2 linked regions of the Lytechinus pictus genome follow. The protein of the gene in region 2 binds, or shares a complex with, the protein of the main gene of each other region. Links are inferred from orthologs where the notes say so. Each region holds a gene or a part of one and is shown on either strand. Other genes may lie near its edges.

Evidence for each region.
Region 1: the proteins of integrator complex subunit 9-like (region 2) and integrator complex subunit 11-like are in contact, whole or in part, in a cryo-EM structure (PDB 7SN8), measured with the Drosophila melanogaster proteins. The link is inferred for Lytechinus pictus from reciprocal best matches to the Drosophila melanogaster genes IntS9 and IntS11. Residues at the interface, in NP_648838.3 of Drosophila melanogaster: Glu128, Tyr198, Asp199, Glu200, Lys201, His230, Asp333, Ser334, Ala337, Tyr338, Asn340, Ile341, Glu344, Gln351, Val354, Tyr355, Leu356, Pro357, Asp358, Asp359, Pro360, Arg509, Lys510, Leu511, Asp512, Arg513, Ile514, Tyr515, Ile516, Ser518; in NP_651721.1 of Drosophila melanogaster: His94, Lys97, Ala98, Pro135, Thr137, His139, Gln140, Ser141, Glu149, Lys151, Lys274, Thr277, Tyr278, Lys280, Met281, Phe282, Ile283, Thr284, Trp285, Phe294, Val295, His296, Val450, Lys451, Ile452, Pro453, Val454, Asp455, Ala456, Ser457.

The regions. Positions count from the first base shown.
Region 1 is NC_087250.1:18,424,723-18,431,910, reverse strand, and holds the start of integrator complex subunit 11-like, read right to left. Parts: upstream 3,043-7,188; 5' UTR 2,923-3,042; coding exon 2,895-2,922; intron 1,812-2,894; coding exon 1,714-1,811; intron 1,199-1,713; coding exon 1,125-1,198; intron 123-1,124; coding exon 11-122; intron 1-10. Other genes in the region: serine/threonine-protein kinase greatwall-like, read left to right, coding at 5,587-5,652. UniProt on the Drosophila melanogaster protein: RNA endonuclease component of the integrator complex, a multiprotein complex that terminates RNA polymerase II (Pol II) transcription in the promoter-proximal region of genes.
Region 2 is NC_087245.1:1,541,244-1,548,255, forward strand, and holds the start of integrator complex subunit 9-like, read left to right. Parts: upstream 1-3,914; 5' UTR 3,915-4,394; coding exon 4,395-4,403; intron 4,404-7,012. Other genes in the region: tRNA-specific adenosine deaminase 2-like, read right to left, coding at 332-482, 1,519-1,623, 1,824-1,880. UniProt on the Drosophila melanogaster protein: Component of the integrator complex, a multiprotein complex that terminates RNA polymerase II (Pol II) transcription in the promoter-proximal region of genes.

The DNA.
Region 1 (7,188 bases), on a different chromosome or scaffold from region 2:
GCACACTTACGAGGAGTATGGGGCAGATAGCCTTGGTGGGCTGTGTCATGTATATGGGTCCATCGTAGCCGACAATCTCAGACATGTGAGGGAGGGCTCCGCAGTGATCAAGATGAAAATGGCTGGGGATGGAAAAAACATGAAAAGCAATTTATTTGGAGAACAATATTTATTATGAAGAAATGTGATACTAAGAGATATATGCATGGCTGCTTGTATTTGTTTGGCATCTCTTGTGCCCGGGAGGTGAAAAGCAAACTGAATCAAAGTGACCCGCAGGTCTCTCCTCTCGATATAACTGGTTGGGGGGAGTGCAGGTGGACCACTACAGGTTTCCCCTTACTCTATACAAAACGTGCAGTGGGGTCTTAACGTGCAAAAGTGGCGACTCTCCTTTACACGGGGCCTCCATTTAACATGCTATCCGAGGGATGGAGTGTTTTCCACTGTAACATAGCCTGCATCTATGGAACAGGGGAGCGATGTTTACACACAACGCAGTCATCCGCACAGGGTAGACTTGAATCCACCACGACCTTTGGTTCGACATTACCAACTGAACCAACTTCACGTTTATATAGTGCATAAAACTTTGCGTTTCTAAGCACTTTACATTGGAATTATTTTCAACGTGGTCATCGGACCCTGGCATGCCTGCAAACAATGTACCGGTAAGCACTTTTCAACTCCCTGAGAGCATTCCAACAAGACAAGAGTTCCAAGACTCAACTGCAAGGCATATTGCATAGGCTTTCACATAAACCTGGGTGGAGTGTGGGAAAGTCTGAATTAACATCTTGCCAAAGGACATTAGGCCATGGTGGGATTCGAACACATGACAATGATTACAAGGTGAGAGTCAGAAAGGTCACACCACAACGCTTCCATGCGACAGTGTAATAATTAAAGTGGCCACCCATTTTTGCCCATGCTGTCTAGTTCTTAGATACACTCCCCCAAAACATGTACTAATCCTTAGAGAAGTGAATAAACACTTAAATATGTTACTCATGAGAAACAAATAAACAGGTATGCAGAAATAAAACAAATAAATTAATAAATCAACTAATAATTGAATAAACCAAAAAAGATCATTTGAAATATTCCAAGAACTATTCAAATACCTAATGATAACTGCATCAAGATGGTCTGTCAATCCACCATTTTTGTTGATGTAGGAGAAGTCTGGAAATCTTCTCTGTTGGGAAAAAAAGGGTAAAAACACACATTCAAAATTAGATATTGTGGCAGGTCATCAGAAGAACAGAGTATTGAGATTTACAACAGAGTAAGTTTGGAAAGAATATGCGGAAATATATGAAAATGGAAATGTTTTGAAGAGGAGGAAGAACAAGAAGGAAAAAGATGGTTAAGAATTTTTTTTTTCAAGAGAGAAAGAGGGAAAGTGGAAATTTATACTAAAAGACAACAATGACCAAAAAGTCCCTTTTTTATAATCAAACATACCCATGTGGAGTAATAAGAACAAATATAAAAGAATAACAGAAATGGAAATATCAAAATCAAGGAAAGAAGCCAACACGAGAACAAGAAAAGAAAATGAGGACAAATAAGAAAAGATACAGGAAAACAGGAGAAGGAATGACATGACTGATAAAAAGAGGTGGAAGAAGAGGAGGGAGAGGGAGGAGGGAAGAGGAAGAAGAGGAAGAAGAAGAAAAAGAGGAGGATGGGGAAAGGAGGTATACTCACTTCATCGTTGAAGCCCATATGCATCCCACAATCCAGCATGATATTCTTACTTCCTATCGTCAGAAGAATACAGCTCCGTCCAACATCCTGACCAGCCCCTTTCAAAATGAATGTCAAATCATACAATCACTTATTCTACTAGCATTGCCAACTCAAACTGGGAATCATGTATTTGTAGTCAACATGTTAAAAGGATATATTCTAAACTCTTTGGAGTCTTGCTTCCATATCTTATTGTTTAAATGATTTTTATAGCAACACAAAACATCATCTGGGTCCCGTCACACAAAAGTCAGTGATCAATCATACGCTTGATTTTTACGACTGACTGGCCATTGTAGTCAATGCAATCAATTGTTAAAAATGTTCTACGACCATTGCTAATACAGCTAAGGCTAAGCTTTGTGTTACAGGCCCCTGGACAAGATTGCAAGTGGGAACAGCTCCAGCAGACTTGACTTGGAAAGCTTAAATGACATTGAGCTGGCCGCCTTGCCTTGTCTTTCCGTTAATGCCCACAATCATTATATTGATTAATATGGCATATGAACGTCAAGATTGACTTGGCCTCAATCAACGGAACACTTTTTGGATTGTATTTGTAATTTGTTCCATCTTTTAAGCAGATTTGCACAGAGGATCGTCAGTTTTAATTGTCACTTTAAGATTAGTTTATAACCAAATTCCCCCCCTAAAAAAAAAAAAAAAAAACAATGCTGATAAAACAAATTTGCAAAAATAATTCCCTGAAAAAAGATGCCTGGCCTGCCTTGGCTTGAAGCCTTGAGGCCATTGAGGGGCCTGAGAGAACTATACTAATAGAACAGTAGAAAAAAATATCCTATAAGTATAAATTCCTATTCCTAATTGAATTCATTTATCAAATTGCGAAAAAACTAAATAATTAATGGCATTAGTGACGCTGATTCATTAGTAGCTACCACCACCAAAGAATCACTAAAATCCTGCAAATCATTGACAGTGTCGTATGATCAACTTGTCAAGCTCAGCTCATACACGCGTGCAGTCTGTCATTGTGAATGACAATGTTGATCTATTATAATTTATAACAAACATGGATGACAATACATGGGACTGTCAACGAAATAATCGGCAAAGTAACACGGTAAAAAACATTACTATCAATCAAATATAAACACATAGGCTCATAATATACAAACCTAAGGGAACTATCCTTATATCTGTCATCTTGAGGTGAAAATAGCATCAATCCGTGGAGAAATGGGTAGTCTAAATCCTTCGAAAATAAAGTTAGCGCTTCATCAGTTCAACTAGTTCATGCCAATGATCAGTGCGTAGTCTACGTCTACGAGCTGCTTGAACAGACTCGAATCAAATACGATTTCATGTCTGATCGAGTCTCATAATTATGCACTCCCTTCTTCTCCAAAACTCTCTTTCTCTATAAAAAGAGGCAACAACAGTACATTGTAAATCTAGTCTCACTACTTCAGACTCTGCTTTATTATGCACTACTCGTAATCGAATAGAGAAATAAAAAAGGTCTGGGCCTAACAACCCGGCCTACCCCCCCCCCCTCCATGCACCCCTCCTCATGTTAGGGAACGGTTTTTTACGGGGGAAAAATGACAAGCAAAAATAAAGATTATCACTCTAAGATCAAAATGTGTGGTTTTTTTTTTTGGGGGGGGGGTCAAGTTTCTACATTTTAGTACACCAATCTGATTTCCAGGGGAATGGCTGATAGCTGCTTCGGCACACCATTTTAGTCACCCCCCCCCCCCCCCGGGCACCCCCGCTTCCAAGGGCCAGGCCCCTCCCCCCCAAAAAAAGTTCAAACTTAGCCGCTATTCTCAAACCGCTTTCCCTTTAAAAATCTGATGATTAAAAAAGCTCATTAGCGTTTCCTGAAGTATATATCGCCTGTTATCAGATTTTCCCAATTTTTTTTTTTTTTTTTTTTTTGGGGGGGGGGGGTAATTTACTTCAAGATTAATCTTAATCTTAATTAATTTTTACATTTCTAAAATGTGTCAATCGTATAGGCCTACCTCACTAATAATAGGCCTACCTGAATCAGCATTCGATATCCCTTATGGCAATGTTTAAGCAGTGCTTAGATTAATCCATAATAAGGCCACCAATTAGGCTATGATCTCGGATGCTCTAATTGGCCTCAATGCTCGTCTCATAGGCCTTAAATATTTTTGTCACCTTTTAAATTTTCCCATTTGTGCTATATATATAGGCTTTATCGGCGAGATAGAAATTATTGCCCATCACCGTATGAAAGGGTGAGGGAGCAACACGCTCTAAAAGGGTCGAAAGGGGACAGCATTTGGTGGAAAGTGCTGTCACTCCTCATCCGGTCATCCATTCCTCCATCCTCAAGTTTGCCTTTTGTGTTTTTAAAGAATGCTGCACTCGACCCAGGTGAGGTGAATGGGTATACCCGGCAGGACTAATTCCTTGAATGCTTGAGCGCTATATAGACAGCTCAGCTAAAGCCGGGGTAATAATAGCAGGGCCCGCTGGGCCCAGTTTTCGGAACTGAAGTGGCTACCCTGGGTAAATAATATACCGCTATTATTGTTGTTATTGTTAAGAAAAGATTGAAAAATCAAGGAATCAAAACATTTCAGCGGCGGTGCAATTATTCAGATAATAATACCTTTAAAAAAATAGTGTTAATCCGACGTCCTAAAAATAATGATTTTTTTTAACAATGTTTCATTATGAAATTAATTGGCACGCCGCTTGTCAAATAGGTGTATCGATATAACAATACAAAATTGATAATAAAAATAACAAAGGAAGATCGACAAATAGCTATAACAAGGTAACCCCCCCCCCCCGTCATATCATTCACGGAACTAAAATCTATGATTAATCACAATAGTTTGAGGGATAACCATAATCGTCTGGTACTGAAATGCTGGGCTATCCTATATTTTTTTCTCAATAAAAACCTGTCCCCCCCAAAAAAAAGATCTGACCCAGCGTCGAGTCTAGCTATTTGTTATAATTGGGGAAAAAGAGGCAGGAACGGATCAATTTTTTCCAAAAGGGGGTATTTTCGTTCAGAAAAATCCAACAAGTAAATACAAAAAATATCTTCATATATTTTTATGGCTCCCCAATCTCAGTGCAACTAAGTTTAGCCTATGGAAAGGTAAATAAAGATTGAGAAAGGTAATAAAGAAAGAAATGAAAAGTAGGCATCAAGGGCAAGTTCCACGGAATGAAATAGGCTAAATAATACATGAAATACGACAAAGCGACTTCTCTTTTTTTTAAACAATGGTACAAAATCCAAAATGTATTGATTATATTATTGAAGAAAGCAAAAATATTGTCTCATTTTACAGGTACACTAGATGCGGATCCAGAGTTGAAATTTTTGGTGTGCTACAGGGTCCAGGATTTTTTCAAAAAGGGGTGCCATATTTTACCCGTTGAAAATTTGACAAGCAAAATACCTAATAAAAAATGTTGTCCCCTAAATTTAAGGTCAATATTATTCGTCCGCCCAAGTATAACTAACAAGCAAAAAAAAAGAAAAAAAAAAAGAAAAGGTTTTGGATATGTAAGGTCAATTTGCCTCTCTCTTTTTCAAATCCTACGGGGGGGGGGGGCTCGTGTGCCTTCAGCCCCCCCCCCCCCGGATCCGTGCCTGTACATGTTGTACAGTATGCACATCATACAATTTTTTTATTTTCTGAGATAGGGATTTATAGAATCACAGAAATACAATACTTCGTTGATTACAAGGCCGGCCCTATAGGGCCTTGGTACACGCCCTCTCTCGATCGAGGAAGACAGAACAAATAAAAAAAAACACGGCCACTAAAGCAGCGGTAAACTTGAAAACCCGCAACAATAGAGAGAAAAATGACCAATATGTTGTCACCATCATCGTCAAATATAAATTCTGAGTTGACCAAGACAGATTCCCAGGTATGTATGCCACTTTCATGCTATGAAATGCTTTTAAAAGGTTGTTTATAATTATGTATGGATGCATGAGAAACAAGTTCGGTCCCATGCGTTGTGAAACGTGTGGCTGGCTGGGTGGCCAGTTTTTTTTTTTTAATGAAATTACCTGCAAGACCTATTTTATTCCTATTTTTAAAAATATCATTAACAGTTCTATAATCAGATAATGCTCAGACTCAAGTCTCAAGACAAATTTGTTAATGATCTTAAATCACGTTTGGTAACAGTTTCCGAGTCCGACTCCAAGTCAAAGAACGCAAAAAAAATAATAATTCGAAGACAGTCGTAAAACTAAAAGTCACTAAAACTTCAAATGCGAGCGATCGTGCGGACAGAGCGCTGAACGTACATTTTCGCATTGCAGTGAATGGGGAGCACATGACTAACACACACGGTTCGCTCCGCTCGGCACTTCGGCTGAGTGCTGGAGTTGCATTTGGAATTGCTCAATAAAACAGTCAGTTTCTTCCTTTACCAGTAGAGGCGCACGGCCAATATGGGAGACTCTCTCCAATAGGGGAGACAATCTCCCACATTGGAGACTTGCTTTGCAAAAGGACAAAAGAAACAACACCAACAAAAGCATGATTTTTTCCACCCAAAATTTTGTCTCGCTGAGGTCAGAAGCCCATTTGTTTTGTGTGTGATTGACAACAAAAATCCTTATCAAAACAAAAGTAGACGGTGAATTTTTAAAGTAGACGGTGAAAAGGGGTAATTTTTCATGAGGAATCTGCTTATCACATTTTTATTTGCCGCCAAGTTAATCCTTTTGCAGCAAATGTAAACAAAGGAAATTGGACTCCAAAACTGGAGACTGTCTCTGAAATTGGATACCCAAATTCTTTACAAAAGTCTCTGATATTGGAGATAATCTCCCACATTGGAGACAGTCTCAAATATTGGCCGTGCGCCTCTACTGTTTACTCTGCTGATTTTGATTGGTCAAAAATTCCCGTGGTTGCTTTGTACACCTTTGGCAAATATCGATAATAAACAACACTGAGTTTCACTTACCATAATGGGATGGAAGGACCTAATATTAAGGTATAAATTTTTCTTTGCTTGAAGTTGAAATCACCCCGTAATCATCGGATCTTATTGAAACTCGGTAGGCCCTAAGTTAATGAAATTGAATATTTGAGAACATTTTGTGAAAGTTGAATTGAATTTGGTTCGTAAAGAGCCAGCGGAAATGAACTTCAATTTTGAGTGTTGTTAGGCGTTTGTGAATCTGACTCGCTGATCGAGAAGGGTTGTTTTGAGCGTATACGAACAGCTGTGAGTGATGCCATCCCCGCTGCGATGGGCTCGAGATTAGTCTCGGTATTCAGACACAGTATGTTTCAGCCGTTGTATAGTTTTTTTAATTACAATTTGAGCTCTGTTAATTATGAAATTTAAATTGTTATTTTGAAAATAATTTTGTAGAATTTGTGCAAAATAAGTATTAAGAGAGGACGGGGGGGGGGGGGGGGGTAATTGTTCAGGGGTAGT
Region 2 (7,012 bases):
AAGCTGTGAAGACCAAAATCAGTAGCCTAGAATAGCAGGGTTAACAGTGCTTTAAGCATGTGCACAATATAAATACCCTAAATTTAAAAAATGAAAAACACCTTGGCAGAACAAGCTTCACATTCTGATGGCAAATGCAGAAAGTGGCAAGATCCAAGAGTACAACTACCATATCAATGTCTACTACCGAATCCCCATTATTAGACAACAGTTTCATACAAAAGGCTAGCTGATCAAATTCAACAACGAGATTATAAGAACAAATACTGCAGTCAAGATTTGTCAACCCAACCCAAGAGTATGAAGCCTTTTCTATGAGAATGAAACTCACCCATGATACGCAGAGCCCCAGCACACATGATACAGGGTTCTACTGTCACAAATAGTTTGGTATGTGAGAAGACCTCTTCTCTCTTCATCTGTTTGTCTTCACACCATCTCATTGCTTCTTCTAAAGCTAAGATTTCGGCATGTCTTGTGGCCTACAGTGCAGTAGAATGAACGTTATTGAAATGAGAGGTGTAAGTAACATACAATCTACAAAAGCAAAAATTTAACTAAAATGACCATTAAGACAGATTTACTTGTTCTGTTTTTCAAAAATTCTGCAATAACTTGAAAATTCATAATCAATACGCCTGTATACAGAGCATTTTTTCAAATTTGGGGGAAACCCTGTAAAGCTGTTGTACTTTCTTTTTCAAAACATGGATAAACTGACCTATGATAAGTATTTTCCTTTTTCAATACAAAGTTATAATCTACAAGAGCAATTCAATCCAAAATTCATTGATTATCGGTATATGAATCAATATTAAAGCAATCTAATATTACATGTATGTTGAGTAAAATGAATTGAATAAAGATGTACAGAAAGGTTTGATACAAATCTCAATAAAGTACAAGGCATTGATTTTATTTTATCTTTTTAAATTGCTCAAAATTAGACACATCTTGTTCCACAGTAGAGTATTTGAAAGGTTTGTGAATCTCATGATCTTGGTTTGTAAGTGCTGCATACTATTACCCCGGCTTTAGCATGGCTACCCTGCGGATCGGACGCTCAAGCATTCACAGAATTCCTTCCTGCTGGGTACCTATTTACTACTCCTGGGTGGAGATTGGCAAATGTAGATAAATGCCTTGCCAAAGGACGCGAGTGCTGCGGTGGGATTCGAACCCCAGACTTTGTGGTTCAAAGTCGGGAGACTTATCCAAACTGAGTCACATTATCTCTGAGACCTGATATGAGACCTGGAGTGTATCAATCATGGGAATTCTTATCTGAGTTTCAGCAGGGACGCCCTGGTTTCAGCTACAATGATGGACTTTTCATGTCAATATATGGATAGGATGTGGTAGTACTGCTTACTAATAAATTAAGATTCAAACTTTGCACCCTGAGGTGCAGACTGCAAGAGGTGCAAAATGACATCAATAATATAGTGCTCTGATCCCTTAGTACAAAGTTTTATCTTTTCTGCAGCTTCAAAGTGTGTAATAAGCAGTATAACTTACATTTTTGGTTTGGTTGACAGCATTTCCTCCTGTCCCTATGATCTGATCATTATACACAAGGAGACAACCTACTGGGACCTCTCCTCTACTTAGGGCCTGCTTACCCTGCACAAAAGAAAACATATCTTAATTTCTCATAGGGAACTGACCATTGTTCACTACAAAACATTTTGCTACATCTATTACAAGCAATCTAAAGAGTAGACATGGTAGTTAGGGTTTCTGAGTGTTATTAACATCACTAACAGAACTTTTTAAAAATATGTAACCATTCATTTTCAGTCCCATAGTAATTGGATACAAACCATGCACACTGCTTGCTTCATCCATTTTTCATCATAAGCTTCGTCATACAGTTCCATGGTCTGTAATAAAAAAAGATGATAATTTAAATTGTTTCTTTTCATCTACAAGTTAAATATCAATATTATTTTACTAATATTATTGAACTTTGAAGCTCAGTAGAGGCATACGGCCAATGTTGGAGACTCTCTCCCATTCTGGAGATTATATCCTGTACATCAGTATTCAATTTAAAGGGATGGTCCGGGCTGAAAATATTTATATATCTAAATAAAAAGAGTAAAATTCACAGAGCAAAATGCTGAAAATAAGATTAAAATTGGAAAACAAATAATGAAGTTATTGAATTTTAAAGTTTATCCATATTTTGTGAAAACAGTTATACGCACATCGTCATGAATATTCATTTGGTGGGCTGATTATGTCACATCCCCACTTTCCTTTTTCTTATGTTATTACATGAAATCATAAATGTTTCATTTTTTCATACATGTGTAAATGATATTTCTGCATTATGAAATAAGTTGCGGCAATAAATAACTAATGCACTTAATCAGTTGTCAATTCAATTGTTTTAGTTTTTGGTAGAAAAAATTTGAATAAACCAAATTTCATATATAATAAAATACAAACGAACAAGTGGGGATATGACATCATCAGCCCACCTAATGAATATTCATAAAGACATGCCTATAACTGTTTCACCGGAATAATGCAAATCTTTAAAATTCAATAGTTTTGTTATTTGTTATCCGATTTTGATAAAATTGTCAGCATTTTGCTCTGTGAATATTACTCTACTTTATCGAGATATATTTCCAGCCAGGACCATCCCTTTAAGAGCCAGTCTCCACTATGCAAGATTTTTTCTGTTTAACATTTGCGTCAGAGGGATTACCATGGTGGCAAAATTACTCCTCTTAACCATATATGCTCAAGAATTCTCCATCTACTTTTGTTTTCATTTATATTTTGTTATCATGTGGTTTTGACCTAGCTGCAAATTTTGGAGGGGAATTAACTTTCTAGTTCAGTGTTGTTGCCTATCTCTTTTGCAAAGCATGTCTCCAATATCAGAGATTGTCTCCAAAATTGGAGAAAGACTCAAATATCAGCCATGCGCCTCTACTGCTCATATTTCTTCAAAAGGTTAACCAGACACAGTTCGAATCATTTGCAAGAGGAAATCTTAAAATAAATGTTAAGGACTTTGAGTTTGATGTCTCTTTCTGTATCCAGTGTAGATCTAGGCCTAATGTTAGACATGCTAGATGCCTGGCTAGTGTCTAGACTTAGACCAAAAGCTTCGGTCTCTGTTAATGTTATGTTGGTTGTTCCGCTGAACTCGTTGGCTCCACTCACCAAATACAGAGACCGAAGTTCTAGCTCAATCTGTACAGGGACTCGATGGCCATATGTTTATGTATTAAGTTCGGATAAAACTGGGAAATGAAGTTGCGCGACAGCCAAAGTAAGTCACTGTGTTTCCCCCTTTGAAGTTTTTTCCCCATTTTGGTGCATTTCAGGCCAAAACAGAATAATATAATAATCTTTATTTTGGTACAGTTCTTTTTATATATTTTTATGAAATAAAGACAAAAATCGATGAGCCCCGTCGGGGGGATTTTGCATTGTTAACCCCTAGGGCCTATGCGTGGCTGCACGATAGCGAGCCTAGCCTGGACTCTGGTCCTGGAGGCTAGTTTTCTGGGGAGTAAAAGTCATCTACTATACGGAAGTCGTAGGCTTACTCCAGCCTACGTATAGTAGATGACTTTTACTCCCCAGAAGCCTCCACTCCAGTCCAGGCTAAGCGAGCCGTCTGTGTACGAGGAGACATTAAAAAAAAAATGTTAAAAAACTCCTCGAAACAGATGCCTGCCAGCTCAGCAGCTGTCTAGTCTAGACTATACTAGACACTAGTGGCAAGGCATGGATGCTGATCGAGAGATTGAGCTGAGCCTGACTGAGATTTCACAATTAGTGAAACCTCGGCTCAATCTCTCGATCATCCTTGCCTTGCCACTTACCTTAATCCAAAATTAAAAGTTTACCCTCCTCGCACCTATCAAGTATCATGCCTATCTGTCACTCTTGAGTCTTGGCGTCTTGCTGCTGACGTAACGACCCACTGCCTCAGATCAGGCTCAGATACCGGTAAATCTGATTAAAAATACTCGTTAAGAGAATCTCCAACTGGTACATGTAATGTACCGTAGTCAATAACCAACCCGCGGACAACCGCTGATAAGTACATGACATGAGGTGCATATGGCGTCTGGTTGACCGGCCGCGGCAACAGTACCTGGTACAGGCGCAGGCGCGGTTTAAGTACGGTACCGGTACCTGTACCTAGCGTTACCCGGGCCGGGGGCGCGGGCGAGGGATCCCCCGCAACCACACTCGTCTCGCGATCGATCGCGCCCGTCCTTAATTTCTTCCGTATTTTATTATCGCGAGGATACCGTACCATACCATCTGAACGGTATACCCATCTGAACTGAGCTGAGGCGAGCAAAAGAAAACACTGCAAGAATATCCTGCATTTTATATAAGAAGCCGGAATAGCCAGAATGAAATTGGTAAGAAAACCTATCCGACCTCCTGCCGTTATGTTATTGTTGAAGTGTGTGTTTGTGTGTCTATTAGTTACAGCCAATTAATGATCAGTCAGCTATCAATCATTCACACAAACAACAACATGAATGCTAGCATGTGGGGCTATGTTAATCCAGCAGATTCAAAGGTTCAGTGGATGATCCTGATAATTCATCATCATCATCATCATGTTACGAGGTGAGGTAATCCTGTTGACCTCGATCTCTTCATCTGAAAATTGCAGTCCATCTCCATACGATGTGTTATTACGTCATAAGTCATAAGAACAAAAACTTGCACACGTGTAGGGTAGAGACGGTTTTGATCATTTGGACTTGGAGATTGAAACGCTCAGACCACCAAAACTTATCGAGTCTTAATTTGAATACATCGATGGAGCCTGAGTCAAATAACTTCTTGGGGGAGGCTATTCCAGTCATTCACTACCCGGTTACTAGTAAAAACGCATTTGCGTATGTCGAGTCTTGATCGTTCTTTAAATATCTTTAACGTATGACCTCGAAGATGTGAATTATAGGGACAGTGATTTTCCGTTTCAAAAAATTGCCTTTTCCGTTTCAGAAAATCTCAAATTCCGTTTCAGCATGTCAGAAAACGTAAATTCTGTTTCCCCATAGACTTTGTACACACGGAAAAGTGACAATTCCGTTTACACATTGAATAGCAAAATCACAACACGTACACTCGCACTGGTCAAAATTTGTATCTGCTACTAGCCTGTACCAACAACACAATAGAATCTGTTCTAATCGGATCTATGCGGGTGCATAAAATATTTTTACAAACCCATTTAGCATGCATACATCCTCACCTTTCACATCATTAGCATTATTTCACGATGAAATGATATTTCATCGATAATTTTGGGGTTTTTTGGACATCGTTATCATCAGTAAACGGCTTTTGCCAATCCGCCATCTTGGATTTTAAGACCACGATATCGTGCTGTTACATCTTCTAAGGTAGAGGGCAGCAACACACAACCGTGTAGTTGAACGATATGTGTGCATGTGAAGCCCAACCCGGCCGGCCGGGCGCCGGGTACGGCTACGGTGCGGGGTACAATCGAGTGTGGTGATGTCGAGTGCAGTCACGACGTGTGAATTGTCATGATAGTAGCGAAGTGAGATCGTGTTTTCTGGGGTTTTGTGGCCATTTAATATTCTCATTTTGTTGTGATTTCGGAGTAATTTCTGTTGCTATTCTGTGTATTTTTAGGGAAAATACGTTTTCCGTGATTTTCCGTTTGAAATGCCACTTTCCGTTTCAAAAGGCCCTTTCCGTGAATTCCGTCCGTTTTCCGCGATCGCGGAAAATCACTGTCCCTAGAATTAGTTGATGGCAAGAAAAAGTGACTTGAGTCCATCTTGACCATTCCTTTCAGTATTTTAAATACCATAATGGCATCGCCTCTCCTTCTTCTATAATACAGGGAGTGTAAGTCCAATACTTTTAATCTATCTGAGTAGGGGAGTTCTTTTATCTCCTGCACCATCTTAGTTGCTCTTCTCTGGACTTTCTCAATTTTATCCGCATCTTCTTTCCATTGAGTGTTCCACAAGATGTTGCCATACTCTAGGTGTGGTCTTACCAATGTCTTAAACAAAATTGGTAGGGTCCTTGTGTCCAGTTGAGTGAAAGTCCGTCTGATGATACCAAGGAGCTGATAGGCTTTGCTTACTTCCATTGATATATGCTCATGAAATTTGAGTTCCGAGTCAATCAATACTCCCAGGTCCTTTTCTCTGGTAGATGAGGCAACTTCATCTCCATTCATGTGATATTTATCTTTCTTGTTATTTCTCCCAAAGTGAAGAACTGTACACTTATTCTGGTTGAAAGGAAGTTGCCATTTTTCAGCCCACATGGTAAGTTTGGACAGGTCTGCCTGTAAGGCCTTGGATTCTTCATCATTCCCTACTGCTCTGTACATCTTAGTATCATCCGCAAAGAGTAAGATCCTGGAGTTTATGTCACTAGGCAAATCATTAATAAAAATGACAAATAGGATTGGCCCGAGGATACTCCCTTGCGGTATACCACTCTTAACATCTGTCCAAGATGATGTCACTCCATTTATAGCCACTCTTTGCTTTCTGCCTTTCAGGAAGGCACTAATCCAGGCAAGAAGAGGGTTCTCAATTCCATAAGCTTTCAGCTTCAATAAAAGTCTTTCATGAGGTACTGCATCAAAAGCCTTCTTAAAGTCTAGATATAAAACATCAATAGGTTGGCTATCGTCTAATATCCTAGTCCATTCTTCAATGACTTTGTTGAGTTGTGTAGGTAAATTGTTCACTGCTTGTATTAACTCTAGGCTTTCCAATTATTTGGAATGTGCAGGAATTTTAGGCAATGAGCAGGCAGGGTTTAGAGAAAGTCATAGTACCCTTGATCACATATTTACATTACATGGTTTGATCGATTTGTATCTACACGATGCGAAGAGAATTTACTGTGCCTTTATTGACTACAGAAAAGCCTTTGACCTTGTTGACAGATCTAGTCTCTGGTCGAAGTTGATTTCATGTGGTATCAATGGGAAGATTATTAGTGTTGTTTATAATATGTA